3 linked regions of the Arabidopsis thaliana genome follow. The protein of the gene in region 1 interacts with the protein of each later gene in a pairwise test. Each region holds a gene or a part of one and is shown on either strand. Other genes may lie near its edges. The genes, in order: AT5G42370, FAO3 and AT5G35460.

Region 1 (6,339 bases):
GTTATTTTGGTTTAATCATTTGAATGTGATTAGCTTTCGTCAGATAATGTGTGTTTTGTGGTGATGTGCAATAGTGGTTACAAGATCGATTGTTTAGGATTTCAAGTGTTTGTCACTCTAAACTAGGCTTTCTATACTATTTTCACTTTGGCGATCATGAGTTTTTCATAGTAAGTTTATTTGTGAGATTTGATACCAACAATTTAAACTATTTGCTCAGAAAGTTTAATTAATGTGAATTAAGTAAGGTCACGATATGCCAGCACCGCATCATGGAAATTCATTTCATCAAGAATTGAAGATATAGATTAAAGTCTAACATTTTGTTGATATTAGGATCAAATTAAGTATTTATAAGGAGATTTTATGGGGGGAAACAGAGATGTTTTTGTTAAATAATCTTTGAGCTCGATAATTACGGGGAGAAGTTTCAAAGAATAACTGAATTGTTTGAACAATATATGCTGGGCCGAGTTAAACCGTCGAGCTTAGAAAGCCGAACTATACATCAGTAAAAGCTTTTACATGAAGTTGGCATTTGAGATGCAAAAAGATAAAAATAAAACTCTCTTTTGGTCCATATAGAAATATATTTTCTTATGGAAAGGGAATTCAGGACCGGGAATGTAACAGTTAGATGAAACTTCATCACATGAAATATTTTATTTTTAATTCAAGTTTCTAGGAACAGAGGAAGTCATACCACTTTCGTGGAGCATATCTGGACGGTTATATGAAACTTCATGACAGTTTAACAATTTAAAAGACCAAAACCACGTGTCCGCACATCGTATACTCAATCAAAGTCAAAGAGAAGGTTTGCTACTTTTCTTAATCTAGTCGTCGATATGACATCACATTTCACACAATACGTGAGAAAAACTTACCATCACATTATTACGAAAACACCCCTAGTCGTGGTCAACTTGACCTTTCCCCACAAACACTCATTGCGGAGGAAACTTCCCGGCCACCGCCGCGCAACCGCCTCTAGCTTTAAATAATAACACCAAAATATTCAAACCCGTGTTTTAACCGTCGAACAATCAAGAATCTCTCCACCATTACACGCATTCACATACTCATCTATATATAATCTACCACTTCTTGAAAAGAATTTGCATCAGAAATCCATTTCCCAAATCTTCTAGATTCATATTCAAATCAAGAAATGACTCTCGCTAAGAACCAAAAATCATCATTGTCACGACTATACAAGAAAGTTTCCTCGAAGAGATCAGAATCGTCAAGAAACCTTGAAGACGAATCAAGAACGAGCAGTAATAGTAGCGGAAGCAGCTCGTTAAACGTTAACGAGCTAAGAACCGTTTTTGACTATATGGATGCAAACTCAGACGGGAAAATCTCCGGTGAAGAGCTACAAAGCTGCGTTAGTCTCTTAGGCGGCGCGTTATCGTCACGTGAGGTGGAGGAAGTGGTGAAGACATCAGACGTTGACGGAGACGGGTTTATAGATTTTGAGGAGTTTTTGAAGCTTATGGAAGGGGAAGATGGTAGTGATGAAGAAAGGAGGAAGGAGTTGAAAGAAGCGTTTGGGATGTATGTTATGGAGGGGGAAGAGTTTATTACGGCGGCGAGTTTACGGAGGACGTTGAGTCGACTCGGCGAGTCGTGTACGGTTGATGCTTGTAAGGTTATGATTCGTGGGTTTGATCAGAATGACGATGGAGTTCTCAGCTTTGACGAGTTTGTTTTGATGATGCGTTGAGATGATATATATGGGATTGGGACATCTTCCTTCCCTCCTCAAAATTTTATTCATTCAATTATTATTTTTGTGAGAGATTCTTATTCCTTTGTATATTTGTGTCTCATCTAATCTATTTGTATTATTTAACACACTTCATAATAAACGTGTCTTGTTTTGATATTCTGAATTTGTCAAAACATACAAAATGTGTTTATATGTCTCCCCATAACTGAGAATACCCAATTAAGGGGACTAAAATCTAAAACTGCGAGTCGTAAAAGAGGCCAGTCATCACCACCATTTGCCGCTCGACCAATGTCACTAGGTGAGTGAGAAACAACCGATAACGCGCGTATATTCTCACATCACTCATTTTTTGGTAGAGGTCGGTAAAACATTTCATATCGTTTGACGTTTGTAAATCTACAGTTTTATTATGCTAGAACAATGATATTGATTCACATTATTGGATGTTTCTATAATTACAGTTACAAACAGATACATAATTATTGCACCAATTCACTTTTTCTATTCAATAAGAGATAATATTGTTTGTAAACCTTTTAACTAAAACGATCCGCTTCGAAACTTGTTTCTTAATGTCTAAAACAATATTACACTTCACAATTTTGCCATCCGTAGAAGTCTCTAGTGTAAAAAATTCTGAATTTGCATGGTTCCGGGGAAATTTTATACAATCTAGAAAATTGGAATAAAATTTTCATAAAATTATTTTTTTGGTCGGATAAAGTTTTCATAGAAGAACACATATTAAATGGATTTATCATCACATAGTAGTAGATAAACAATTTAAATTATGTAATACAAATCAAAATGAATTAATCTATTTGCCACATATAGTGAATTTGATTTCTATTCAAAGGGGAAAATACAAATTCATTTTTAATATGTAGTAGATATTTGTTTCTCAAGTAATTAATATTCATATTTAAAAAATCATTGCATATGTTAAACAAATCTACAAAAAAATTCAATGGTCATTCCATAATTATAAATAATACGGATATTTCACAAATTCACTTTTTGTTTGGAACCCAGAAAAAAGATTCATAAAACCAGGCAATAGAAATTTCATCTGAAGAAAAGAAAAAGTAAAGCTATTAAAAATCAAAGCCACGAGAAGAAAGTAGAAAAAGTTACAGTCTCTGTCTATCAAAATCCCAACGGTAACTGAAAATCGCCGGAACCGAATCTGCGGCGAGCCAAAACTTGTGGATCTTTTAATGAAAACTTGAAGATTCCTCTTTCCACGGTTGCTTCTAGGGTTTTCTCTTCGATTCACCACATCGTCATGAACCAAATCTCTTTCTGGTGCCTTTCTTTACTCCTTACGGTGGTGATTGCTGCAGAAGAGACTCCTATCACTCGTATAGCCTTCGGATCATGCGCTAATCAAAGTGCTCCACAGGTAAATCAATCGTACAACCCCTACTTGGCTCTGGATTCAGTGTTTTAAGACTGCTCTGTTTGGCTGGTGTTTAAGTGAGCTGATTATGGTTTTTGTTTAATTAGCCGATGTTCTCTTAGATGATATAAGCTTGTGTTGCATACTATGTTAAACATTGTATTTTTGTTACATTTTAGCCGATATGGGATGCGATAAACAAGTTTGATCCGCAACTGTTTATTTGGTTGGGTGATAACATCTACGGAGATATAAGAAGACCACTTACAGTCATTGGGAAAGAGAGAACTTTTGGGCCATGGAGGAATTCACCGAGGTTTGTACCTTCTTCAGAGGAAGAAATGAAACTAAGATACGCTAAAGCCAAAGCTAATCCTGGATATTCTCGTATTCAGAGAAAAGCTAAGGTTATTGGTACATGGGATGATCATGATTACGGATTGAATGACGCTGGAAAAGAGTTTGATCGTAAAGTCATTAACCAAAAACTTATGCTTGATTTCTTGAATGAGCCTCTTGATAGTCCTAGGAGAAAGCAAGCTGGTGTTTATGCTTCTTATACTTATGGTCCGCCTAATCGGAAAGTTAAGGTATTAACAGAAACTCTTGTCTTCTTTGGTAGTTTTGTTAAGTTTAGAATGAAGAGCTTATATGTGATTTAACACAGTTGTGTATCTCCTTCAGGTTATAGTTTTAGATACTAGATATCATAGAGACCCTTTAAGAAGTGACGGGAGCATATTGGGTGATACGCAGTGGGACTGGCTCGAAAATGAATTGAGCGGTCCCCGAAGCGAAATCACTATCATAGGATCCTCTGTTCAGGTATCTGCAAATTAGACTTTTGTGTCCTGTTCCAGTTTGGCCATGGACTTAAACTTGATGAAGCCTGAGTGTCTTATTCCATCTAGAACTGTTGTCTCTTAACTTGTCCAGGTGATATCAAATCTTTCTGCTACCACTGGACCTCTCTTTTATATGGAATCATGGGGTCGTTTTCCAAAGGAAAGGAAACGTCTTTTTAAACTGATAGCAGATACTAAGGTATGGGATTGTTGACAGTAATGTTTCCAACTGTCAGTTTTCTTCTTTCCTCGTCCCCATAATTCTTCGTTGCTTTGACATTACAGAGAGATGGAGTTATATTCATCAGTGGAGATGTACATTTTGGAGAAATCACGAGATATGATTGTTCTGTTGGGTACCCATTATATGATGTCACCTCCAGTGGTCTAGTACAATCTGTTGAGAAAGTTGTCCCTCGTCCCTTGCGTTCCATAGTTAGGCTTCTTTTTTGGTATACTCCAAGCACGATGAGAGTTATCAATGATAACTGCAAATTCAAATCTTGCACATACGGTATTATTCTCAATTTGATTCCTTTTACGTTTTCTTCTGATAAACTGTGGAAAGATTTATTGACAAGCCAAGACACAGTGAGTCTACTTTAAGTTCCAACTTTAGCTCTATAGCTCTACTGTCACTAACCTAGGACGGAATATAGTAGACTGTAACTGTTGTGAGTTGATTTAACAGAGCAGCGATGTACTCTTTTGTATGATTACATTGGTTACAATATCTTAAACTTACGTGCAGGACAACAAAATTTTGGAGCAATATCGATAGATTGGAATGCAAATCCGGTTACCATAAAGCTCGAGATCAGAGATGTTAACGGAGACACTGTACTAGGCACGAATGTTTCATTATCTGAACTCCAACCAGGAGGCTCGAATTCTTTAAAAGATACAACAACTAAGGGAAAGTCTCAACGATATTGCACACTCGAAATTGAATTACCAGGAACGACCAGATACCGATTGGCAGTTCTCATCTACTTCACCATTGCTGGTATGTCATTCTTCCTCACTGTGGTTGGTCATGATGAAAGAATGTTGCGGAGTACTGATATATACGTTGTTTGATTGGGTTCGACAGTCTTGGCAATGGCGATATTAGGACTTATCATTGGAGCTGTATTGGCCATAACAGCATGCGTTTATAAATGCAAGGTCGATTGATTGTTGATGACATTAATCAACTTTTTTTGGTCCAACAAAAGTGTCTTTATGACTTATAATCTGTATTAGTTGGATTATTCAGGGATTACAATTCGGATGTAGCTTATAATGTTAAAAATTGTTGAACACATGGATTTTGATCTTGTGATGGGAATTCTAAGCTTGAGCTGTTATTAATTAAACTTCTTTGAAAGAGAATGTTTGTGAACACAAGTTAAATTCTAGACTACATGCAATAGCATTATAGTTTCCAGTTTCTTTTTTCTTTTATTATTGTAAACCAAGGTTTATCGTTTATTACATATGAAGGTTTTCACTGTCTATTTGTAATAAATTAAACAAATTAAAGTTTTTATAATTTCAGTAATGATCTCAAAACGGATACTAGCTTTGATTGGTGAACAAAAACAAAGTATATTGGCTTTGATTGGTGAACAAAAACAAAGTATTACAATTTGTACCGCTTTTATTTCTGTTAATTACAAAAGCTTTTTTAAAGCGTTACAAAAAGTTTTACTCTCAGCTTTATTACTATATAGCTTTCTCGTACAACTATTTTTTTACAACTTTGCAGTATTCCGAAAAAGTTTTTATCACCGTTAACAGTTAAGATTTGAACAGCTGTATGTTACCGATAGGATCCACTATACTTCCCAAATCTGATGTTAATTAGTAATATGAGGTTAATTTTTTACTATTTTATTGAAAAAGCGATATTCTTGCAATTGACCCATAATTGAGTCAGCTTAATTTCCATTTATTTTTTTTTTGTTTTTTATTTATTTTTTTAGCTTCCGCTTTCTGCAGTATGATCTATTTAAAATAAAATAAAAAAGGGAAAAGTGGGAAATCGATGCGTCAATCTTAGGTCTCCGAGGTCTCAATTATTTCATCTTCTTCGGTGATTTCTGGGGAAGATGCTCTGGATTTGGGAAAGCAACTCTGTCGATGGATGAATCTCTTTTCGAAACTTCTGGGTGATATGCTCAATGTGAGTGAAATTGTTCTTCGAATTTGTTGAATTTCGTCCATTGTGTGAAATTGCAGACGCGTCTTGTAGTTTGATTGTGAAACTTAATTTTGTAGGCTTCTTTGAGTTACTTCGTTGGAATTTTGGAGTTAGGCTTTTTACATGTTTAATCTTTAATCGAGTGGTTGGTAGAATAAGCGGATCTCACTAT
Region 2 (6,339 bases), on another chromosome or scaffold:
AACTTGGTACTGGAGCTATAATGGTCAAGCTAAGACGATGTAGATATAATTACAATTTGGAAGAAGAACAAGTTGAAATATAAGAATATAGAATTGCGAATTGCGAATAATGAAAAGATAACTACTGCAAGAGATTAAGAACAGATTATGGATAACCACTTGTGTTTATATTAGGCTTGCATTAAAAGCTTTGATATGCTTAGTTGACGTTTTTGTGCTTAGTTCTGCCGTTTTCTGTTTGTGTCCATGAATCCACGTGTTAAACCATCTGCTGTACAAGGTTTTTTAGTCTTTCAATTTCCCAATTTGTGTTATTTGCAACATGTAAATGCTAATGACAAGCTACATGTTAATGCTGGAAAAGAAAAGTAGACGTTAGTTCGAATGGATCTAGATGATTCTATACGTACTATTCGATATTCGATCTTCTATTTTTTTCACTATACTCGAAGACATTGGTGCAAATTAAATATTCTAACTAGATGTTGGTTGTTAATTTTTCTAATTATTTAGTATTTGTTGCAGTGTCCCACGATTACATGAAGTTATATAGTAATTTAATAATAAATATGATAATAAAGATATTGAAAACCCCTAGTTTATCACTTTATTGGTTAACCAAAAATTCATTAATGATTATACATAAAGAGGTCTTTGGTTCGAGTCTCAGATACTACAATTTATTATCAGATTTGCAGATTTATGGAGACAAGTGTATAAGAAATCTTCAACGATATATAATTATAGCCATCATTGAAATTCTCCATCAAAAGCATAAAAAAAACGAAAGAAATGCCGTCTCTCGTGAATCTAATAAAGGCGAAATGAACTTTTTGTAGCAAAATTGTTTATATAACAAAAACATGATAATAAAGATAACTTACGCATAAAATATCGGTAGTTTTTAGTATCCGCGTATAGTTTACTTAACTAAAGGAAATATGGTATTATGACTTTTTAACACAAGATTTTAACTGGGCAGAAAGTAACATGAACGGAAAAGGTCTACAAAGTGGGGTTATCTTGAAAATGCCGTATATAACCTGTTATCGCTATTTTACTTTACATTATCGCTTAATTAATTAATGACAACTTGTGACATCTTTAATTGCGTCCAACAACATTTTTTTTGACTTTTAAACAATAAGCTATAATGACATTTTATTTTTAGAAGCTATACTTACACAGTGACACATAATAATTCAACTAAACAACCCACTGTACCCGATTGAATATTTTACAAGCCATGAAGGTTTTAAGAAGATTTTGTTGCTGATGCCTCGGCTAGCTTGAAAATGTTTTATGGATTTTACGCAAACACGTCATTTTGACAGTGTTTTAGAGATTTGTTTTTGTCTACAACTAATATATAATTAAGCTTTGGAGCCATTGAAAATATTTGGTCGATAAATAATAATCACAAAGTGTACCTCAATCATAGAAATGGAATGCTATGGTCCATATAACTTGAAATATTGTAGTCATAAAATTACGATATCACCTAACGGAAAATAGTCTTAACATTTGAACATAACATGTGTTCAGAGAAGTTATAAATAAGTGTTCAGAGAAGTGATTTTTTATTTCTAAGTTATAAATAAGTGTGAAAAAGTAACTTATGACTAAAAAATATTTTGTGAACTTTTTAATATTATTATTTTTGCAAAACAACGCACTATATATGTACCTCGTACACTCTAATTAGCTCATCCACCACGGTAAAATTTATTTATTATTTTGCATTTTTTATTTGGTTAAGCTGAAACATATCATTATCACCAAGCAATTATATATGTACCGATAACCCATGCTGAGGAAATTTTCTAACCAAACCTTTGGGATCAGAATATATATTAGTAAATAATCATACTTTAACTTAGATTACACTAAAAACTAGTTATCGTTTTAGAGTTTTTTTTGTCTGACGAGATCTCGGATGCTTCGATTACACCTGACTTGTTAGATGGGATGCATGACCACATTTTGGCTAACATGGCGTGCAAACGATGACGTGGAGGCAACTGATTGGCTCCACTGATTCCCACAAATTTGTTGCAAAATCAAAAGTAGGGCCAGACTAATTATATTATTTTTTTGTGGATGTCTATAATATGAAATTTGAATCAATACGTAATTTATCGATTCTTTGTCTAATCGATGTCAACTAAATTTAACAAATTATCTGGAAGTCACTCAACATTTTCCTTGATAATGCTAGTTTCTTCGAATCTTAAATGAGGCAACGCATTGTCCATTGAAATTTTAAGCATATAGTGTATATATGTATTTATTTTTCTAGCAAATTCAAAACGGCCTGGGATCGTTTGGTTTGTAATCAATATATGGGTTTTTTTTGGTCAACAATCAATAATTAGTATTTTTGAGAATTCATGAAATACTGGATGAGTAAATGAGATAATTTTTATGGATGATCACTAGCACATGGTTGCTAACCAGTGAAGCACCTAAAAAATCACTGCAAAAAAGTTTGTAATCAATTTCGTTGCAGCTAAGCAACATTTATGACTAATTTGAGTAAATATTAATTGACGATCCCATGAATTTCACCTAATTGACGAGTCCCTAGATTTGTTTTAGAGTAAATTTTACAACTTCATATACTTTACATTATAATTAACAAACTAAAAAACTCGTAAACCAAATAAGACTTTGTCTAATGGTCCAAGCATGACCTCTCCAAAGATATAATATGTTTTGATATATACGTGATAACCGATCAGATGTTGTATATACATATTAATGTGTATTAATTTCTTCATATAATATTTACAAATTTTTGTGAGAAGATATCAAGTACACGTATATCGAATAAGAAAAGCTAGATTGTGTAAAACGTTACGGGGCTTGTGCATTAACTCACAAGTTGGCTATCACAAGTTTCAAATTGTGGTGTTTAGAGCATCGCAGTTGTCAAACAAAAAAAAAAAAAAAAAAAGAAAGAGTATCACACGTGATTGTTTTCCATAACTATGAGAACTTTTCTGACTATTTTCTTCTTTTGTGCCTTTGTTATGTTTCTTCAATCATTACTTAATTATTAATTACTAATCGATTTTCGTTGCCTGTAGTTTTCACATGTTGTAATCTAGAAAACTGAAAAAGACTTTCCCCATAATAGTCTCTGCTAACTACATACTAGTCCCTATATTTTGCAATTTTAAGTGTTTTTAACCACTATCTTAGAGACTCTAAACATGAGGACCCTAAAAAATAACCATCATCTTAAATTGTACGTAAGAAATATATTCAATCTACATCAGATGATACCAATAAAATTCGGCATATAAGTAGAATTTGAAAGAAACAACAACGTGGGTAGATATGCACCATTTACAACAACAAAAAAGAAAAATCAATTTTGGTCCAACTTTTTCATATACATTTAAATTGTCAATTATCATCATAATTAGTAATACGACAAACTGTCGTATAAACTAGAAAAATACATACATCTACTATCTAAAACGACAGATAAAAATACGTAATCATCAAAAAGAGTTAAAAACAAGTTTTGGGGTTCTCTTAGCAATTTTGTTTTATATGTCTATTTTTATGTAACGCGACAGCTGTAACGTTGTGTCTATATATATACTAACAGAGTTTGTGCTTCGAAATCTTAAGAACTTTCCCAGTTTTGTTTTTTAATCATATCAAAGCAAACTGTGTGATGGATAAGTACAAAGTCGCCGGAAAATTTGGTCTCCCGGACATCACGGTGGCAGAGATGGAATCTTTAGCTAGCTTTTGTGAAGCTGTCTTGCCTTCAGTGCAGCCACCGCCGGAAGAGCTTTCCGGTGAAGGTGATAACCATCGGAACAAAGAGGCTCTCCGGTCATTTTACTCAACTTCTGGGTCTAAAACTCCTGTCCTTCGCCAGGTTCACACACTTTTTCTTTATATTCATCAAATGATCTGTTTTTTTAACAAAATGCTAAAGTTTTGACACTTTCAAACAAAAAAACACAAATCAAGAACGTGTGATATTTGAAGATTTGTTTTGATTTGTTCGATTAGTTAAAAGGATTCGTATTGATCGAGTTCCAATAAAATCCTTGTGGTTCTCTTTTGACTTCTATAGACCTTTTAAATGACAAAAATATCTAGCTCTTTTTGTTTTTTTAACGTGAATATTATTAGTCTAGGTTTCGGTCTAAAATTAATTGCGGTTATTAAAAAGACCTTAAGGTTTTGAGTAAAAAGTGAAAGATTTGTTAATGGATGCAGAGCATTGAGCTGGTCACGAAACGAGGGACAATAGAAGCTTATATTGCTACTAGGCTTATATTGTTCTTGCTTGCTACTCGGCTTGGGACGCTTCTCATTTGTGGAACCGAGTGTTTGGTCTCAAGATGGCCTTTTGTCGAGAAATTTAGTGAGCTCTCGTTGGAGAAGAGAGAAAGAGTACTTCAGAAACAATTCAAGAATTGGATTCTGACTCCAATTAGAGCTGCTTTTGTCTACATCAAAGTTGCATTCCTCTTCTGTTTCTTCTCCCGGGTATGTCTCAAATTCTCTCTGTTTTCTCCAAACCTTATCTCAACCACATAGATTATGTTGTTCTGTCCGGATAAAACAGTCTAGTACAAATCCAAATAATCGAAAACAGAATCGCATGGTTTAAATTCATTTACTTTCTATATAATCCAAAAATTGATTACAAATAGAGCCAAAAAAAACTAGAAAACGTATCAGTTTTATTGTTTTCTAAATTAATGATGATCTCTAAGGAAAAAATCATCCAAATTCATATATACTAAAATTAGAAAATCTTAAACCTGAAACCGTACGTAACGTATTCATATGAGATTTGTTTATAACTAAAATTTACTATTTTACTATACATAAACAATTTGATCCCATTATTAAAAACTTTGATCTTAAATGAGTACCAAGCGATTTAACTAGATCATTTTCTGATTTGGTTACAATAAACCGATCCAAAATTTTGAGAATCGTGAACTAAACCAAAATCCGGATTCAGAGCCTATATTATATATGTTAACTCTGTCGTAAAAACAGAGCTACTTATAGAAAATGTTCAAGAATTTATGGATATGTCGTTTCTTTTGTGTAGGTGAATCCAAATGGCGAAAACCCGGCATGGGAAGCCATAGGGTATCGTGTTAACCCCGATGAGAACAAACCTTCTGAAACTCATAACGAAAGACCACTTGAGAAAGGGATAGTGGAGACGATGGAAGAAACAGAGCAGACTCTTCTTGAATCACTTGCTCATAAAGGCCTAGAAGCGGTTCTTGACACGGAGCATGATGCGATCAGAATAAAATGTGATGTTGTGGTCGTCGGGTCTGGTTCAGGAGGAGGCGTAGCAGCTTCTGTTCTAGCGAAATCTGGTTTAAAAGTGGTTGTTCTTGAAAAAGGAAGCTACTTTACGCCTTCTGAACATCGTCCTTTCGAAGGTCCTGGCTTGGATAAACTCTACGAGAATGGAGGGATTCTCCCGAGTGTTGATGGGAGTTTTATGGTGTTGGCTGGAGCAACTGTAGGTGGTGGATCTGCTGTGAACTGGTCTGCGTGTATCAAAACCCCGAAGTCGGTTCTTCAAGAATGGTCAGAGGATCAAAATATACCTCTTTTCGGTACTAAAGAATATCTAACGGCTATGGAAGTTGTGTGGAAGAGGATGGGTGTCACGGAGAAATGTGAACTGGAGAGTTTTCAGAATCAGATTCTGAGAAAAGGTTGCGAAAATCTCGGGTTCAATGTTGAAAACGTGCCAAGAAACTCCTCGGAGAGTCATTACTGTGGATCTTGCGGGTATGGATGTAGACAAGGAGACAAGAAAGGAAGTGACCGGACTTGGCTTGTCGATGCGGTGGGGCACGGTGCCGTGATTCTTACTGGATGTAAAGCGGAGAGATTCATACTCGAAAAGAACGGTAGTAACAAAGGAGGCAAGCAAATGAAATGTTTGGGAGTGATGGCTAAATCTTTAAACGGAAACATAGCAAAGATGTTAAAGATTGAAGCTAAAGTAACGGTTTCAGCAGGGGGTGCTCTTTTAACACCTCCGTTGATGATATCTAGCGGGTTGAGAAACCGAAACATCGGTAAAAACCTTCACTTACACCCTGTTTTAATGGCGTGGGGTTACTTCCCGGACAAGGAATCTTCTAACATCAGTTTCAAGGGAAATTCATATGAAGGCGGGATCATAACATCAGTGAGCAAAGTGTTATCAGAAGATTCTGAAGTCAGAGCAATCATAGAGACACCGCAACTAGGACCAGGTTCGTTCTCCGTTTTAACTCCTTGGACCTCTGGGCTTGACATGAAGAAAAGAATGGCTAGATACTC
Region 3 (6,339 bases), 3.3 Mb from region 1:
ATTTGAACTTACATGTTGCTATCGGGGTGCCGGTTCACGTGCCAAATGTTTTGAAAGAGATGCTAGAGTTGAGGTACCTTTCCCTACCTCTGGATATGCATGATAAAACCAAGTTGGAATTGGGTGATCTAGTGAACCTGGAGTACTTGTGGTGTTTCTCAACGCAACACAGTAGTGTGACAGACCTCCTCCGTATGACCAAGCTCAGGTTTTTCGGTGTATCTTTTAGTGAAAGGTGTACTTTTGAAAATCTATCTTCATCTCTCCGTCAATTTCGAAAGCTGGAGACACTTAGTTTCATTTATTCGCGCAAAACCTATATGGTTGATTATGTGGGAGAATTCGTTCTGGATTTTATTCATCTAAAGAAGTTAAGTTTGGGAGTACATTTGTCAAAGATTCCTGATCAACATCAATTACCTCCCCACATTGCACACATATATTTATTGTTTTGCCACATGGAGGAGGATCCAATGCCAATTCTAGAAAAGTTGCTTCATCTGAAGTCGGTTGAATTAAGACGCAAGGCTTTCATAGGGAGGAGAATGGTGTGCTCAAAAGGCGGGTTTCCTCAATTACGTGCTCTACAAATATCTGAACAATCGGAGTTGGAAGAGTGGATAGTAGAAGAAGGGTCGATGCCATGTCTTCGTGATTTAATTATACATAGTTGCGAAAAGTTGGAGGAACTTCCTGACGGACTCAAGTATGTAACATCCTTAAAGGAACTGAAGATTGAAGGAATGAAGAGGGAGTGGAAGGAGAAATTGGTTGGAGAAGATTACTACAAAGTCCAACACATTCCCGATGTTCAATTTTTCAACTGTGACGACGAACAAAGAGAATAACCAGTAGCAGGTAAAAAATAAACGGTATAATAATGTTCACTTTTCAAAGTCATGTGGACAGTCTCAACTTTTATACATTGTTCTAAAATCGATCATCTTTTAAATAGATGCAGGAAAGAACAAGAAGCTAGTCAAATTCTCTTATATTGGGAGAGATAGAGGCTGCTTCACAAGAGTCATCTACTGATAAATCTCTGGAATACAGATTCTGAAGTACTACTGATTACGTTGGAGCTCTCGCTTTCAGTGCATCGTTATGTTGTGGCTCAGAACTATATGCTTTTTATTGATGTTTGTTTTCGGTGTGGATGCATGGAACGTGCTTGAGAACTCTTTCATAAAATTGAGAAACGAACCTTGTTTTTTTTGTAGTTCATTGTAAAAATTGGATATTTATGTTTATACGAATTTGTTTTGTTTTCTCGTTTGTGATTTAACACAGTTAGCTAGCTTTTGTAAGCTTTATTTACATCAAATCTGGTTAGATTTGTTTTTTATCACATTTAGGCTTAAGTTTTGTTAGTTTTGCACCTCTTTTACTGTGTACGCATAGTGAAGTCATGGTTGAACCAAGACGAGCAAAACTGATGTACAATAAACAAAACAATCTCATTTTGTACAAGTTTTTTGTTTCATTTTAATTTCTTTTATCAGTACTGTGTGATATTTGCACTCGTGACTTAGACTTGGGTCGTTGAGGGATTAGTCGATTTCTTGTTCAGGAACAACATAAGATTGTCAGAACAAAACACCAGTTTTTGTACTTTTGTTTTTAAATCTTGTTTCAACTTCAGACAGACCCCCTTATTCTATGGCTTTAGTATATTTGTTTACTTTTGAACAATGTTCAAAAAAGTGTTAGGCGATAAACGGGCGATGACCCAACGCCTAGCGTTTAGAACGCTTAGTCGGGGTTTAAGTGATTTTAGGTGGTTTATCCGTTTATGACATAAAACATTTTAAATATGATATTATAGATAAAAATCATATAAAACTATATATTAGAAAATATTAATCGGATCCTAATCAAAAATTAGATAAAAATGTTTCTTTAATTTATATCAACAATATATGAATGTTTATAACCATGTGTAGAAGTAAAACTTATAAAATTTAAGCAATATTAGTTAAAAATAAAAAAAATATACTAAAACGAAATTTATGTTATTTTAGGCAGTCGAGATGATTATTTAGGCGTCAACTGAACGCTTAGCGGCATATAAACGACCGTCTAGACCGCTTTTTACAACACTGCTTTTGAATCTTTCAAACTTCATCCAAAAACAAAACTAAAGCTTCTGGAACATGTGAAACCTTGTCAAGAAACTCTAGTTTTGAACTCATAAAACCTAGTTAAGAAGTTTTTTTTTTTTGTCGGCACCTAGTAAAGAAGTTATACCACAGCATTCTTTTTTTACTTTTTTTCTTTAATACAAGATGCAATTAAACAAAATGTTCCTCTAACTATAATAATGTAGAAAAATACGTGTACGCTAGGAAATTTCTCGACCCGCGCAAAAGAGGGTCCTAGAAGTTTCAACTTTCGACACGTGGCTCCTTCTCAGTCTCTCTTATTAAAGTCTTTAAATTATATAATCACCAAAGGCAATTAATGGAATTAATTTACTTTGAGGACTAATATTCCATCTGATTTCCCAAGATAAAACATAAAGTCCTTATTACTTAATTATGAATGTAATTATTGGATTACATGTAATTAATCACCACTTTATAAAACTGAACAAAAATAGTAACGAATATAAAGAGTTTAATAATGATTTTTGGGTCATTTTCCTTCACCAAATTTTTAATTCCGCATAAAGTAAAATATCCTGAAAACAGAAAAATTCAGTGTTTTCGGATTCTCCTTTAAAAACGACAAAAGCATCTACAGAGAAATCTGACCGCAATAATGGCGAATAACGAAGATTCAAACTCCAATGGACTAGACTCGTTTGATGCTGTTAAACAACGTTTCAAAGATCGATCAAAGGTACAACATCAGATTCGATTTTCACCATTTTTGATGTTTCTCTTTTGTTCCAATTTTGTTGATTTTGACTTTGTGGACCAATTGTTTTTGATTTTGACAGAAAGTTGTTCAGACGAGAGAGTTGTTGTCTAAACAAGCGGTACAAACGCGTGAGATCTTATCGAAACAAGCCGTTAAGATCGCTAAACAAGCCGAAGAACATGAGAGATTCATCAATAAGGTTAGGTTTCTCTCTTGATTCTTCAATCATGTTTTGATTTTAAGTTACTTTGGTTTGAAAATGTTTGGTTCTGTAATGTTTTAAAGGTGACACATCTCGTTGGTGTGCTTGGATTTGGAGGTTTTTGTTTCCTACTTGGTGCAAGTGAGTTCAAAGAAATTGTGTTTTTTTTTTGTTTTTTTTGTGTTTTGTTCTTAATTCAATGTTGTTGATGTTGATGATGTTTTCGTTTTCAGGACCTCAAGACATTCCTTTAGTTTACTGTTTCTTCTATGTGATCTTTGTTCCTCTTCGATGGATATATTACCGGTTTAAGAAATGGCATTATTATCTTCTGGTAATGTCTCTTTTGAGGATTTGGAATTAAGAAACAGTCGTTTTGATTGTTATTGAAACAATTTTTGTGTATGTGATAGGACTTTTGCTACTATGCCAATACAATCTTCTTGGTTGATCTTCTTCTGTATCCTAAGAATGAAAAGCTTTTCATGGTTTGCTTTTCCTTTGCTGAGGTATGCTTTTTAACTACATGTATGTATATGAGTCTTTTGTGTCATTGTGTGTGCTGATTTATTTTATTGGTTGTGTCTTGTGCTGCAGGGACCATTGGCGTGGGCGATTATTGTCTGGCGTTGCAGTCTGGTTTTTAGTTCGCCGGATAAGATTGTTAGTGTTCTTATACATCTCTTACCTGGTGAGTTCTATAATCTTCTTGTTGACAGAAGAAGATATGTTATTGATTCATATTGCTAAAGTTGACGGCTTTGATTAAAGTAGTTGTATGAATTCTTAGCTTGTTGTTCCCCTCTCAACCGTTTTTAATTCAAACACATGGTTCCTTGTTGTAATGCATATGATAGATATAGTTAAGCTTTATGCTCTCTCTCTCCATTGTTTCTTTATTATTGTAATGAATTTTGGTTTCAGGGCTCGTGTTTTTCACGATTAGGTGGTGGAATCCAGCGACTTTTGCAGCTATGCACCCTGTAGGCACTGATCGTAGGGTTTCATGGCCTTATGTTGAAGACAAAGCTTACCTATTCACATGGCTGTTTCTCGTCCCCTTAGTCGTTTATACTCTTTGGCAAGTGCTCTATTTTCTAATCGTCAATGTCCTGCGTAGGCAGAGACTCCTTAGAGATCCTGAAGTTATGACTTCTTACAGGTATCTCTTGTCTACGCCGTATGTTAATGTTCTCCTCATATTGATCGCTAAGGTCACAGCATAATGTAATGTGTTCTTACCATAGAGTGAACACTTGTATTGATGGAATCCTTTGGTATGTGCAGAGAGCTGTCGAAGAAAGCTGAAAAGGCAAACAATAAGTTGTGGCAGCTGAGCGGTCTGCTAGGGGATCAGAATCGTATATGGATGTACATCCTATTCCAGGCCATCTTCACGGTGGCAACCATGGCATTGACCGTACCGATCTTCCTATCTTATAGACTTCATGTGATCTTTCAGATCCTAAAGATTTCTGCGGCTGTGTGGAACGGAGGGAGCTTTTTACTAGAGGTAATGCCACGGCAAGTGATCCAGAAAGAGAAGAAGAAGAAAGCTGAGATGCAGCCGATAGAGGAGCAGATACTACATCATGAAGCTGTGTCACATCCGACTGAGAATGAGCCAAAATCTACTGAAACATGATCATGGTTCTAACAAAAAGGTACATGTAAAATAAAGTTTTCAAAGGTGAATCATGATTGGTGTTTTTTTTGTTCCTCATGTTTTGTTCTATAACTGTTTGTTTCTCTTGTTGCTATACATCATTCTAAAAGCTTAATGTATGTGAATGATCTTGTAGTTTATTTTTTCTAAAGAAACTTGTTATTTACTCTTTAGCCAAAGTTTTGATCCTGTTTCGCTAGGACATTCTGGCCTTAAAATTGCATTATGAGAGATTTAACTATATTTTTAACGCGTTTTCGAGAAAGGAAAATCTTCGGATTTCAGCGAAGTAGATTGGGATAAGTTCTCCTTGAGACGCGGATTTTGTTTTCTGTTTCTGCTGTACAAAACAACCATCACTAAAGATCATAACATTCATGTGTTTGATAGTGCATAGTTCTCGAACATGTCGTTACCAGCCGCGGAATAAGCTTAATAAGTATGCCGATAGCATTATGAAATCCATCATGTCCGATACGACTATTGTTCAGTGGAGATGAAGCTTAATAACTTGAGTTCCGCCAAAGAATTCACTCAAAAATCGACCATGAAGAGGATTTTGATCGATGCAAATCGCCCCTGTAACGAGCTGATTTGGAAGAAGACTCAAGAACCACCAATTTGCACCGTACGGTCAAATTGAGTCAAACCAAACCGAAGAGCCCCCTGATGTACTTGAAGACTTTCTGCTGATTATATTCACCCTCATGAAAAGACTACACGACGTTTAGAAGCTGCGACTTTAACTTAGCTCTCGACGCCATCACCGAAGATCCTCCATTATAGCCTAACGGCTAGAATCATCACGCTCCTCTCTTTATTTCGCATTATTCGGTTTCCTTTTCTAAGTTTTAGACCATTGTTGTACTTTTCAATTTAAGCTCTTTGATTCTCTACTTTGTATTCACGCTTTGATCAATTGAAATTCAGTTTGTTTCTTGCTTCAATACTTTGTATCTTGAATCAAATCTGTTCTTGCGAGTTCTAGGTTGTTTGTAGAATCAAATACTTCTCATCTAAAAGCTTCCATCGCTCGCTTCTAAGCATTGGACCCGTGAGCCTTGTCTTGGTGGAATCCAGGACGTGTAGTCGTGTATCACATGAAATGAATGGAATAAGATTTTGATTATATAATCTACAAAGTAGGTCGCATTAAGATACATGCCAAATACCGCACTGAACAGAGAAAGAAAACAGAAAATCAATGTAAATATTGTTGGTGTGTCCTTGACTACAATGTTTTTTGAAAAATTATCTTGATCATGTGTTTTGTCAGGTCCGAGTTGTCCATGATATCAATATTCATGATGGTAATCGATCAACCTTTGAGAGTATAGTAACAACACTTGGCATATTTCTCACTTACGCTAGTCTCATTTTTTGTTCATTCAATGAAAAAACTTAATTTTATGAATAAAATTTCTCGAAATGCGCTTAAGACCTTGACAGTACGACAATCTATATTTACTAAACTGAGAAAAAATTGCCAACGCTGTTAAGGAGGTTGAGGTTGGACATGGGTGGTGGCCGGAACCAGCAAAACTGATCCACTAGCACGGCGAATACAAGACCTTTTTTTTGTGACACTATCAATGGGTTCGAGTTGACT

What was found.
Region 2: the proteins of AT5G42370 (region 1) and FAO3 interact in a protein complementation assay, tested with the Arabidopsis thaliana proteins (one large-scale study listed by BioGRID).
Region 3: the proteins of AT5G42370 (region 1) and AT5G35460 interact in a protein complementation assay, tested with the Arabidopsis thaliana proteins (one large-scale study listed by BioGRID).

Annotation. Positions count from the first base shown.
Region 1 is NC_003076.8:16,938,148-16,944,486, reverse strand, and holds AT5G42370 (Calcineurin-like metallo-phosphoesterase superfamily protein), read left to right. Parts: upstream 1-2,752; 5' UTR 2,753-3,023; coding exon 3,024-3,140; intron 3,141-3,316; coding exon 3,317-3,727; intron 3,728-3,821; coding exon 3,822-3,962; intron 3,963-4,073; coding exon 4,074-4,181; intron 4,182-4,267; coding exon 4,268-4,573; intron 4,574-4,733; coding exon of another isoform or gene 4,734-4,792; coding exon 4,793-4,988; intron 4,989-5,075; coding exon 5,076-5,158; 3' UTR 5,159-5,506; downstream 5,507-6,339. Other genes in the region: CML37 (calmodulin like 37), read left to right, coding at 1,172-1,729.
Region 2 is NC_003074.8:8,379,172-8,385,510, forward strand, and holds the start of FAO3 (fatty alcohol oxidase 3), read left to right. Parts: upstream 1-3,500; 5' UTR 3,501-3,688; coding exon 3,689-3,898; intron 3,899-4,159; exon of another isoform or gene 4,160-4,239; coding exon of another isoform or gene 4,240-4,245; coding exon 4,246-4,518; intron 4,519-5,095; coding exon 5,096-6,339. UniProt on the Arabidopsis thaliana protein: Long-chain fatty alcohol oxidase involved in the omega-oxidation pathway of lipid degradation.
Region 3 is NC_003076.8:13,669,838-13,676,176, forward strand, and holds AT5G35460 (uncharacterized protein), read left to right. Parts: upstream 1-2,651; 5' UTR 2,652-2,760; coding exon 2,761-2,841; intron 2,842-2,941; coding exon 2,942-3,061; intron 3,062-3,147; coding exon 3,148-3,205; intron 3,206-3,297; coding exon 3,298-3,398; intron 3,399-3,477; coding exon 3,478-3,573; intron 3,574-3,661; coding exon 3,662-3,755; intron 3,756-3,988; coding exon 3,989-4,226; intron 4,227-4,351; coding exon 4,352-4,709; 3' UTR 4,710-5,666; downstream 5,667-6,339. Other genes in the region: AT5G35450 (Disease resistance protein (CC-NBS-LRR class) family), read left to right, coding at 1-848. UniProt on the Arabidopsis thaliana protein: Glycerophosphocholine acyltransferase (GPCAT) that utilizes acyl-CoA to acylate glycero-3-phosphocholine (GPC), forming lysophosphatidylcholine (LPC).